Linked DNA regions of Macaca mulatta. The protein of the gene in region 1 purifies or fractionates together with the protein of each later gene. This does not show direct contact. Links are inferred from orthologs where the notes say so. Each region holds a gene or a part of one and is shown on either strand. Other genes may lie near its edges.

Region 1 (4,196 bases):
GGAAGAACAAGGAAGCAGGAAAATGCTCTTAAACCCAAAGGGGCTTCACTGAAGAGCCCACTTCCAAGTCAATAAAAAGCAACTCTTGCCTCCCTTCCTCAGCCCCTCTCTGGATTTCTTATCACCTAGATGCTTCATCCCAGCCAGAAGAGAGCCTTCACATTCCCCATCCGTGTTCGGAGCAAAAGAGCCGGGACACCAAGAACAAGCTGTTAGATCACTGCCTGGGAGGTCTGGCTTAGTGCCCTCATCTCTGGCTCCATTCCAGTTCAGCTAAGTCTTGCTTTAAAATGTTTACCTCCTTTGCAGGCCATAGGACTGGCCCAACTATGAGAAATAGCTGTTCTGTGAACATGAAAACGGGACAGCAGTTTTCCTGGTTCTAGCCAGCACTCAAGCCTTTACCAGCCCACACACAGCTTAGGCCATGTACAGCTGTCATCTAATACATGTTTTCGTGAAACAGAAAAAAAAAAGTTGAAGGACCAAACAGAACTTGCTTTTTAGAGGTGGGCCGGGGGCGGGGAGGTGCCGTATACAGTGGCTCACGCCTGTAATCCCAGCACTTTGGGAGGCCGAGGCGGGCGGATCATGAGGTCAGGAGATCGAGACCATCCTGGCTAACACGGTGAAACCCGGTCTTCAATAAAAATACAAAAAATTAGCCAGGCGTGGTGGCTGGCGCCTGTAGTCCCAGCTATTCAGGAGGCTGAGGCAGGAGAATAGCGTGAACCCGGGAGGTGGAGCTTGCAGTGAGCCAAGATCAGGCCATCGCACTCCAGCCTGGGCGACAGAGCGAGACTCCGACTCAAAAAAAAAAAAAAAAAAAAAAGAAGTAGCGGAGGCAGGTGCTGTAACTTCTCATTAGGGGCCTTTCTGTGGATTTTAATGTTGTCCATATATCACTTTAAAGAAAAGTAAACTACAAACATAAAAACCACCAACATTCTTTCCAGCACGGGTACAGGCCAGCTCTCCCCCGCCGCCCAGCCAAGAAGCAGAACCATCCAACCATTCACAGGGCAGCAGGGTGTTGATCCCCAGGCAGCTGATGGGGCCAGCCATGGCACCCCCAAAAGGTGCCCCGCCCTGCACACGGCCTGTCCCCTCACCTCGCCCTGGCGCCTGGTCTTGGGGGAAGGGCTGAAGAAGTTGTGCAGGACAGAGAGCTCTGTGCTGAACAGCGCGCTCTCCTTCTCCAGGATGTACTGCTTCAGCAGCGGGGAAACCTCGTCCCCAAAGAGAGCCTGGTTGTCTTGCCAGATCTGCCGCTTCACCTCCACGGCGCAGGCTCGATACAGCTCCTTGTCAGCCATGACTAGCTTCAGCTTTTTCTCAGGAACCTACATGACACCACAGGCAGCCTGTGAGTGGCCCCTGTGTCCCTGGATCTCCCTTAAGACAAGCCAAGAGACCTCAGCCCCCCCCCCCAAGACCACCTCCCGCTAAGCCCCACCCCACAGGACACCTATGACAGGTTCCCTGGCCCCAGCAGGTTCATGCAGACAAGCCAAATACCAACAGCTCTATCCCAGGGCGGGCCCCACACCCCAACTCCAGTGCTAAGGTTCAGTCTCCACGCTGCTCATGCAGGAGAAGCCAGACAAGCTCACCATAGACAGCACTACGGCAGGTGGCGTGGGAAGCTCCCGGAGCTAGGTGGCCACCAGAACTTCCACCAACTTAAGGGCACGAGAGGTGGGCGGACGGTCCACGCCACCACGTCCGGGTTAGGGTTAGAACCCTACCTTGGGCAGGTGCTTCATGACGCACATCACCACGGGCTGCAGGGACGGCATCTTGACCAGAGAAAAGCTCTTCTCCAGAAGATCTTCCAGCTTCTTGTACCTGCAACAACTCACAAGATTGATGGTGCAGCGATGCGCCAGATCAGAGCAGCTACCTGCTTGTCCCCACACAGGTAACAGCTACCAGGACAAGCCTCCACGCGCAGGACACATGGGGCAAGGCTCCACACTCAGACACAGAGCCAGGCCACCTCTGGGAGCAAGGATGTGGAGCCAAAAGGATGATAAATGCCCCTGAGTCGATCCAAGGCTGAGAAAACAGCCGCACATCTCACCTGCCCATCCCTCCCGCTGACCCACCTTTCCTCAGCCTTCCCTTCCGAAGCGATGGCTGACACTCGCTCCAGCAGCTTGTCCCGCAGCTCATCGAACACCGACTGGTGGAACTCCAGCCGCGGCGTCCCGTGCAGGTCCAAGAAAGGGAGGGCCGACTGAAGAGAGGGCAGCAGCACGCCATTCTCTGTCTGAGGAAGTCAAGAGAAATCTCAGCCGCAGCCCAGTGCGCCCGGGCACCCCAAGGTTCTAAGAGCTCGAACCCAGGGAGGTACGAACCCAGGTGTTCCCAGCCGTGCTGGCGGTAACCGCAGCCACCGAAAGCCACCCAGCCGTCCAGCAAAGGGATGCTGGCTCCGGACTCCACCCCCAAAACAAGACTCAGACACCAAGAGAAAGCCGGAAAACTTCCGGCGCCTCCGCCAGGCCCGACTCCGGCGCAGGCAGCCCTGCCCTCGCACCGGGCTCCCCCCGCCCCGGGGGCTGCCCCACCTGGAACTGCTCGATGGCCTTGAGTGGCTCCGTGCAGTTGGTCAGGGTCTCCTTCAGGTCCTCGCCGTTGGCCACGCCCAGGTCCTGCAGCCCCGCGAACATGGCCGAGGCCCCGGCCGCCGCCCGGCTAGGCGCCCCATCCCCAGCCCGCTCCCCCGGCGCCGCCGCAGACACCCCAGAAGCCCGCTCCGCCGGGCCTCGGGGGCCGCCCGAGCCCCGCTCCCCGGCGCCCTCCAGCTCGGCCAGGTCCCGCCCGCCGCGCGGCTCCGCGCGCGTCCTGCAGCCGCCCACTTCCGCCCCGCACCGCCCGGGTCCGCCCGCCAACCGGCCCCCTGGAAACGCCGCCGGAGCCGCGCGCAGGTTCCTGGGAGCAGCGCCCTCTCCCGGCGCGAGAGACCCCGCCCAGGCAGCCCACTGCGCATGCGCCCGCCCGGTCCCGCCCGCTCCCGGGGTTTCTGGCAGAAGAGGGCGGGTGGGAGCGTGGGGGCGGAAGCGGGGTCGGTCTGATCTGCCAACTGACGTCATGTCAGCCGAGTGAATTTCGTGTACACAAGCTTGGAAAACGCTCTTGTTGATCTCGCGGCAGCCACGCGCCGCGGGGACGTTTTGCCGGGGGTTGAGCTCCCCGCCCCTCCGCTCTGCAGGTGCAGGACACGGGCGCAGACTCCCTCCCTCCTGAGCGTGGCTTCCTCCGCGTGAAACGGGCACGAAGCCCACCGCAGCGCTGTCGCCAAGACTGAGGTCTGAGCGCCTTCAGGGGGCCGGGGCCTGGCGGAGACCGGGCCCGCAGCGGGAGCGCGAGCGACGGCCGCCCTCCCCGGCACCGGGAGGCTGTGGCGCCCACCGAGCTCCGCGGAGCCGTGAGGGAGAGTCCAGTTTCCACAGTGTCCCTTCTCATCCCAGGCGGGTGGGCTTCCCGGGCCTCCCCGCCCCTCCAGCCCGCCGCCCTCCCGCAGGCAGTGCCCCGCCAAGCACCCTACACACACCCTCTCTCTTTTCGGTCTTCCCTGCCGAGTTTTTCTTTAGAAATTTCTTTCCCGCTGCCCAACAAACTCTTGCTCTTCCTTAAAGGCTCCTTCCTCCACCTCCTCCAGGAAGCCCTCCCTCCTCAGCCCAGCTGGAGGAGATCGTTGCATCCTTCCTGCCGCTTCCACTCCTAGCTTTGTGTCTCACCAGGGGTGCCTGGTGGTGCAGCCATGAGCAGAGCTCCTGTTCCCACAAGCGGGGCCAACCTCCCAAGGCCAGGGCTACCACGGCTTTCTTGCTGCTGGCCAAGTTGGTCACCCCAAGGGCGAAGGTACCAGTGCCTTGATCCAACCCCCAGCTGGTTCAGTGGCAGAGGAGGGCAAGGGACACAGCACACACACAGCCCTAGGGCCTTGGATTCCTCTCTGCCAAAGGGGATGGTGCTGAGGCCACAGGAGCAGCTGCCCAGAGCCTTTTTGAAGGGGTTGAGCTCTGGGCCTGGTCTGGGTCCTGGGTCTGGGAAGGACTTGGGGAGGTACAGGTGATGGCACTGCAGTTAAGCCTCCTGCAAGGTGGCAGCCTTGGGGCCCAACCCTGGGTAGGAGGGCAGGCCAGTGGTGACAAGGGAGGCCCCAGCCAGGTGAAGCTGCAGGCAGG
Region 2 (3,643 bases), on another chromosome or scaffold:
CACCAGACCGGCCGCGTAGTCCGGGGTGGCGTTCTCCACCACAGTTTCCTCCTTGGCTGGCTTCTCCACCACCTCCGCATCTGTGGACAAAACAGGCGTCCTCACCAGTGCCCAGGTGCGTCTGCAGGCTCAGCTCGGGGCAGCAACAGGGAAGCAAACAGCTTCCCAGGAGAGGCCGCCAAGGAGCGAGGAGAAAAGCAGGCGCCCACCCACAGAAGAGGAGCCTCACAGGGGCACAGCCCTGCCCGCTGAGCGTGGACACGCCCCACCCCACCTGGGCAGGGCCCGCAGGGACCCCCACTGCCGCCTCCACGCAGGCCCCAATCCCCACCGAGAGTCTTCCTTCTCCTCTTCGCCTCTCGGCCAGCACCGACCATATCCAGCTCAGAGATGTCCAGCAGCTGCCAAGACAAGCACAGCCCTGCCTTAGTGACAGCACCAGGGCACGGCAGGCCTCAGGGCGCCACAGGAGCTGGGGGACGGGCCCACCTTCACACCCCGTTCTTTCCTCAGCAGTGTCCTGGAAGGCGGGATGGGGGTCCGGTTCCCCGTGGGGCTGAAGACGCTGGGCGCCGTGGGGCTTCTGAAGGGCGCCTGCTTCGGGATGCCTTTGAGTGGGGCTGGAGGACGACAGCAACTGTCAGGGCCAGCAGCAGGGACCGGCAAACATCCTCCACCCCCTCTGAGCCCAGAACATCCCACCCCTTCTAGGCTAGCGCTGCAGTGGGGAAGGGCCAAATCCCTGGCGGGCAGCGGGCAGGACCCCCAGAATCCCAGACCTCAGGGAGCAGGGGAGTGCCTGGAGCCACAACCTCACACTTTGCCAAGACACCAAAGACAGCGGCACCCCAGCCCAGCCACAGGATCTCACCCGGTGGAGTCTCTCACCAGCACGGGGGGCTGAGCTCTGGCTCCTTCCCGTACCTCCACAGGCAGGGGCGCGAAGCCAGGCGCCTGGGCTCGAGGACTGCCCTCCCGAGCCTTGTCCTCCTGTCCCGAGGACGCTCCTGAGGCCTACGCCATTACCCACCAGTGCCCACACACACCCTCCAGGGCATGCATGGCTCTCATGGTGCCAGGACCGGAGAGAGGGTGCCCGGCGGACCATGCCGTTAGCACACTGGGACAGGCTGGACACACTGCTCAACAGCTGGCCCACCCTCCCTGGGACAGCAGGTGCAGCCCCAGCCCTGGGATGCCTGGCTGGGGTGGAAAGACAAGGGTCTGCTCCAGGCGGGGCAGAGGAGAGCAAGGTGGAACCTTGGCTGCGGTGGGCAGGAACGTGACCTGGGGATGGCCCCCCCACGCAGGGACAACAGTCAGCAGACCCAAGACGCCTTCTACTAGGTCCCATGTGAACACTGTGGAATTATGGGAGCCCAAATAAACTGAGCCAGGCTGGTCCGGGGGCTGCATGGAGGGTGCCTGCAAGGCTGCCCTTTCAGCACCACCCATCTGCAGTTTACCCAGCTGTCTCAGCACAGGACGGCACCCGTCCTGCCCTCTGGCCCCCAGGTCACTCTCCAGCACCCTGTGGGGTGAGTATGCCCTGCTGCGGTTCCCAGGGGCACGCCGTATTCCTGTGATCAGGGTCCATTCTGCTTAAGCTCACACCCGGCCCTGAGAGCACAAATCAGGAAGGGCAGATGGAGGGGTGCAGGGGCGCAGCCCCGCGGGCGGCAGAACACGGTCACGCCCTCCCCGCGCAGCCTCCCAGGGACACTCGGAACCCAAGAGCAGCACTTGGGGCTGAGAACCCGAGCTGGGAAGGCCGAAAGCTGCTGCCGACAGCAGAGAAGCAGGGGCCAATGCTGTCCTCCGATCCCGGCCTTCCTGTCTCAGCACCCACGCACCCTCCCAGGGCGCTCCCCAAGGGGAGAAGCTGGTACAACTGCCCCGGTGCCTTCGCTTTCCCGCGCGCTCCCAACACTGCTGCCTGCGGGTCATTCACATGCACCACCTCCCCAACAGGGAGCCGAGTCTCCAGGTCAAGCTCTTAGCTCTGCCCTAAAAGCAAGGCTCGCAGCACCGGGGTGGGGGCCTTACTGGTGGTGTCCATCTTCCGCAGCAGCCCCCGGCCCTTGGCGTGGAAGGGCACCCCGGCGCTCCGCTTCAGCTGCTGGGCGGTCTCCGTGGCTGGAAGGAAGAGGTCACATGTGTCAGGGATCCTCAGAGTGAGAGCTCTTGGCCCTTGTAAACGCATCTCTGTCAAGCGGATTCATCCAACGGCCTGAGCCGTGAACACTGCATTCTCTCTAATGAGCAGCTGTTTCGAGCAGGGCCTGACACCAGCTCGCACATTACAACAAGTCAGAAACTCACTCAGGTGAGCAAGTTTCGGGAGCTGGGTGGCTGTGGCTGCACCTCCCAGGACCCCACGGCAGGGGGAAGCAGCAGAGAAGGAGTTGAGGGGCCTCACCGGCCCACTCCGACGACCCGGGCCTCCCCCTGGCTCAGTGGGAGCGCCGTCCTCGCTGAGGGTCAGCAGGCATGGTCTAGACACAAAAATATGAGGAAGAAACAAACGAAGAGATTTTCCTGACTTGGTTCAGTGAGGCTGAAGGGTCAGGGGACACTGAGTGCCCAAAGCACAGCCTGAGGCCGCTGCTGGCCTCCAAAAGGGATGCGTTCCACTGTGGGGTGGGGCCCAAGGGGCCAGCAGAGTCCTTCATGGGCTACCCGGTGCCCCTGGGGCTGCACGGAGCCTCCTGGACAGCGCTGGGCCCCGGCTGCTGCCTGTTCCAGCCAAGACCCAAGCACAGCTGCTGTCAGCCTTTTATTTGGATTCTCTAGAAACGGGGTATCGATGTACATTATAAATATTCATTCTGTAACCATTCAAAATAAAACGATTTTATTGTAATCTTTGTCGTGCTTTGGGAAAACGTTAAATGAAATGATTAAATATCTTTCAAGTCAAATTGAGATCACTGGCCACTCAAGAAGGTAGCAACGTGACAGTAAGGACGGTGCCCCTCCAGCCATTCACAACGGCACCCATCGTGCCCAACAGCGGGACTCAGCTGGCACAGAGTTCATTTGGTAACAGAGATTAGAGATGCCTTAACCTAAAATTCTGAAGTTTTTGATTTCTTTCTTTTTTTTTTTTGAGATGATGTTTTGTCCTTGTTGCCCAGGCTGGAGTGCAATCTCAGCTCGCTGCAACCTCCGCCTCCCAGGTTCAAGCGATTCTCCTGCCTCAGCCTCCCTAGCAACTGGGATTACAGGCCTGCACCACCACGCCTGGCTAATTTTTGTATTTTTCGTAGAGACGGGGTTTCACCATGTTGGCCAAGCTGGTCTTGAATTCCTGACCTCAGGTGATCTGCTGGCCTTGGCCTTCCAAAGTGCTGGGATTATGTAAGCCACCACGCCTGGCTTAAATTCTGAAGTTTTTAAAGCATGTTTTCAGAACACAAAGTTTAATATAGTGATAAATAAACTTCTAACAAAAAACTTTGGCCGGGCATGGTGGCTCACGCCTGTAATCCCAGCACTTTGGGAGGCCGACGCGGGCGGATCACGAGGTCAGGAGATCGAGACCATCCTGGTTAACACGGTGAAACCCCGTCTCCACTAAAAATACAAAAAATTAGCCGGGCGAGGTGGCGGCGCCTGTGGTCCCAGCTCCTCGGGAGGCTGA

What was found.
Region 2: the proteins of NELFB (region 1) and NELFA purify together in Homo sapiens (affinity purification with mass spectrometry; 8 studies listed by BioGRID and IntAct, counting the BioPlex papers as one, with this or other methods). This does not show direct contact. The link is inferred for Macaca mulatta from reciprocal best matches to the Homo sapiens genes NELFB and NELFA.

The regions. Positions count from the first base shown.
Region 1 is NC_133420.1:5,193,585-5,197,780, forward strand, and holds the start of NELFB (negative elongation factor complex member B), read right to left. Parts: upstream 2,859-4,196; 5' UTR 2,820-2,858; coding exon 2,574-2,819; intron 2,273-2,573; coding exon 2,109-2,272; intron 1,849-2,108; coding exon 1,749-1,848; intron 1,344-1,748; coding exon 1,113-1,343; intron 76-1,112; exon of another isoform or gene 1-75. UniProt on the Homo sapiens protein: Essential component of the NELF complex, a complex that negatively regulates the elongation of transcription by RNA polymerase II.
Region 2 is NC_133410.1:2,108,040-2,111,682, forward strand, and holds part of NELFA (negative elongation factor A), read right to left. Parts: exon of another isoform or gene 3,616-3,643; intron 3,244-3,615; exon of another isoform or gene 2,894-3,243; intron 2,496-2,893; exon of another isoform or gene 2,323-2,495; intron 2,137-2,322; coding exon 2,047-2,136; exon of another isoform or gene 1,355-2,046; coding exon of another isoform or gene 889-1,354; intron 621-888; coding exon 490-620; intron 402-489; coding exon 332-401; intron 81-331; coding exon 1-80. UniProt on the Homo sapiens protein: Essential component of the NELF complex, a complex that negatively regulates the elongation of transcription by RNA polymerase II.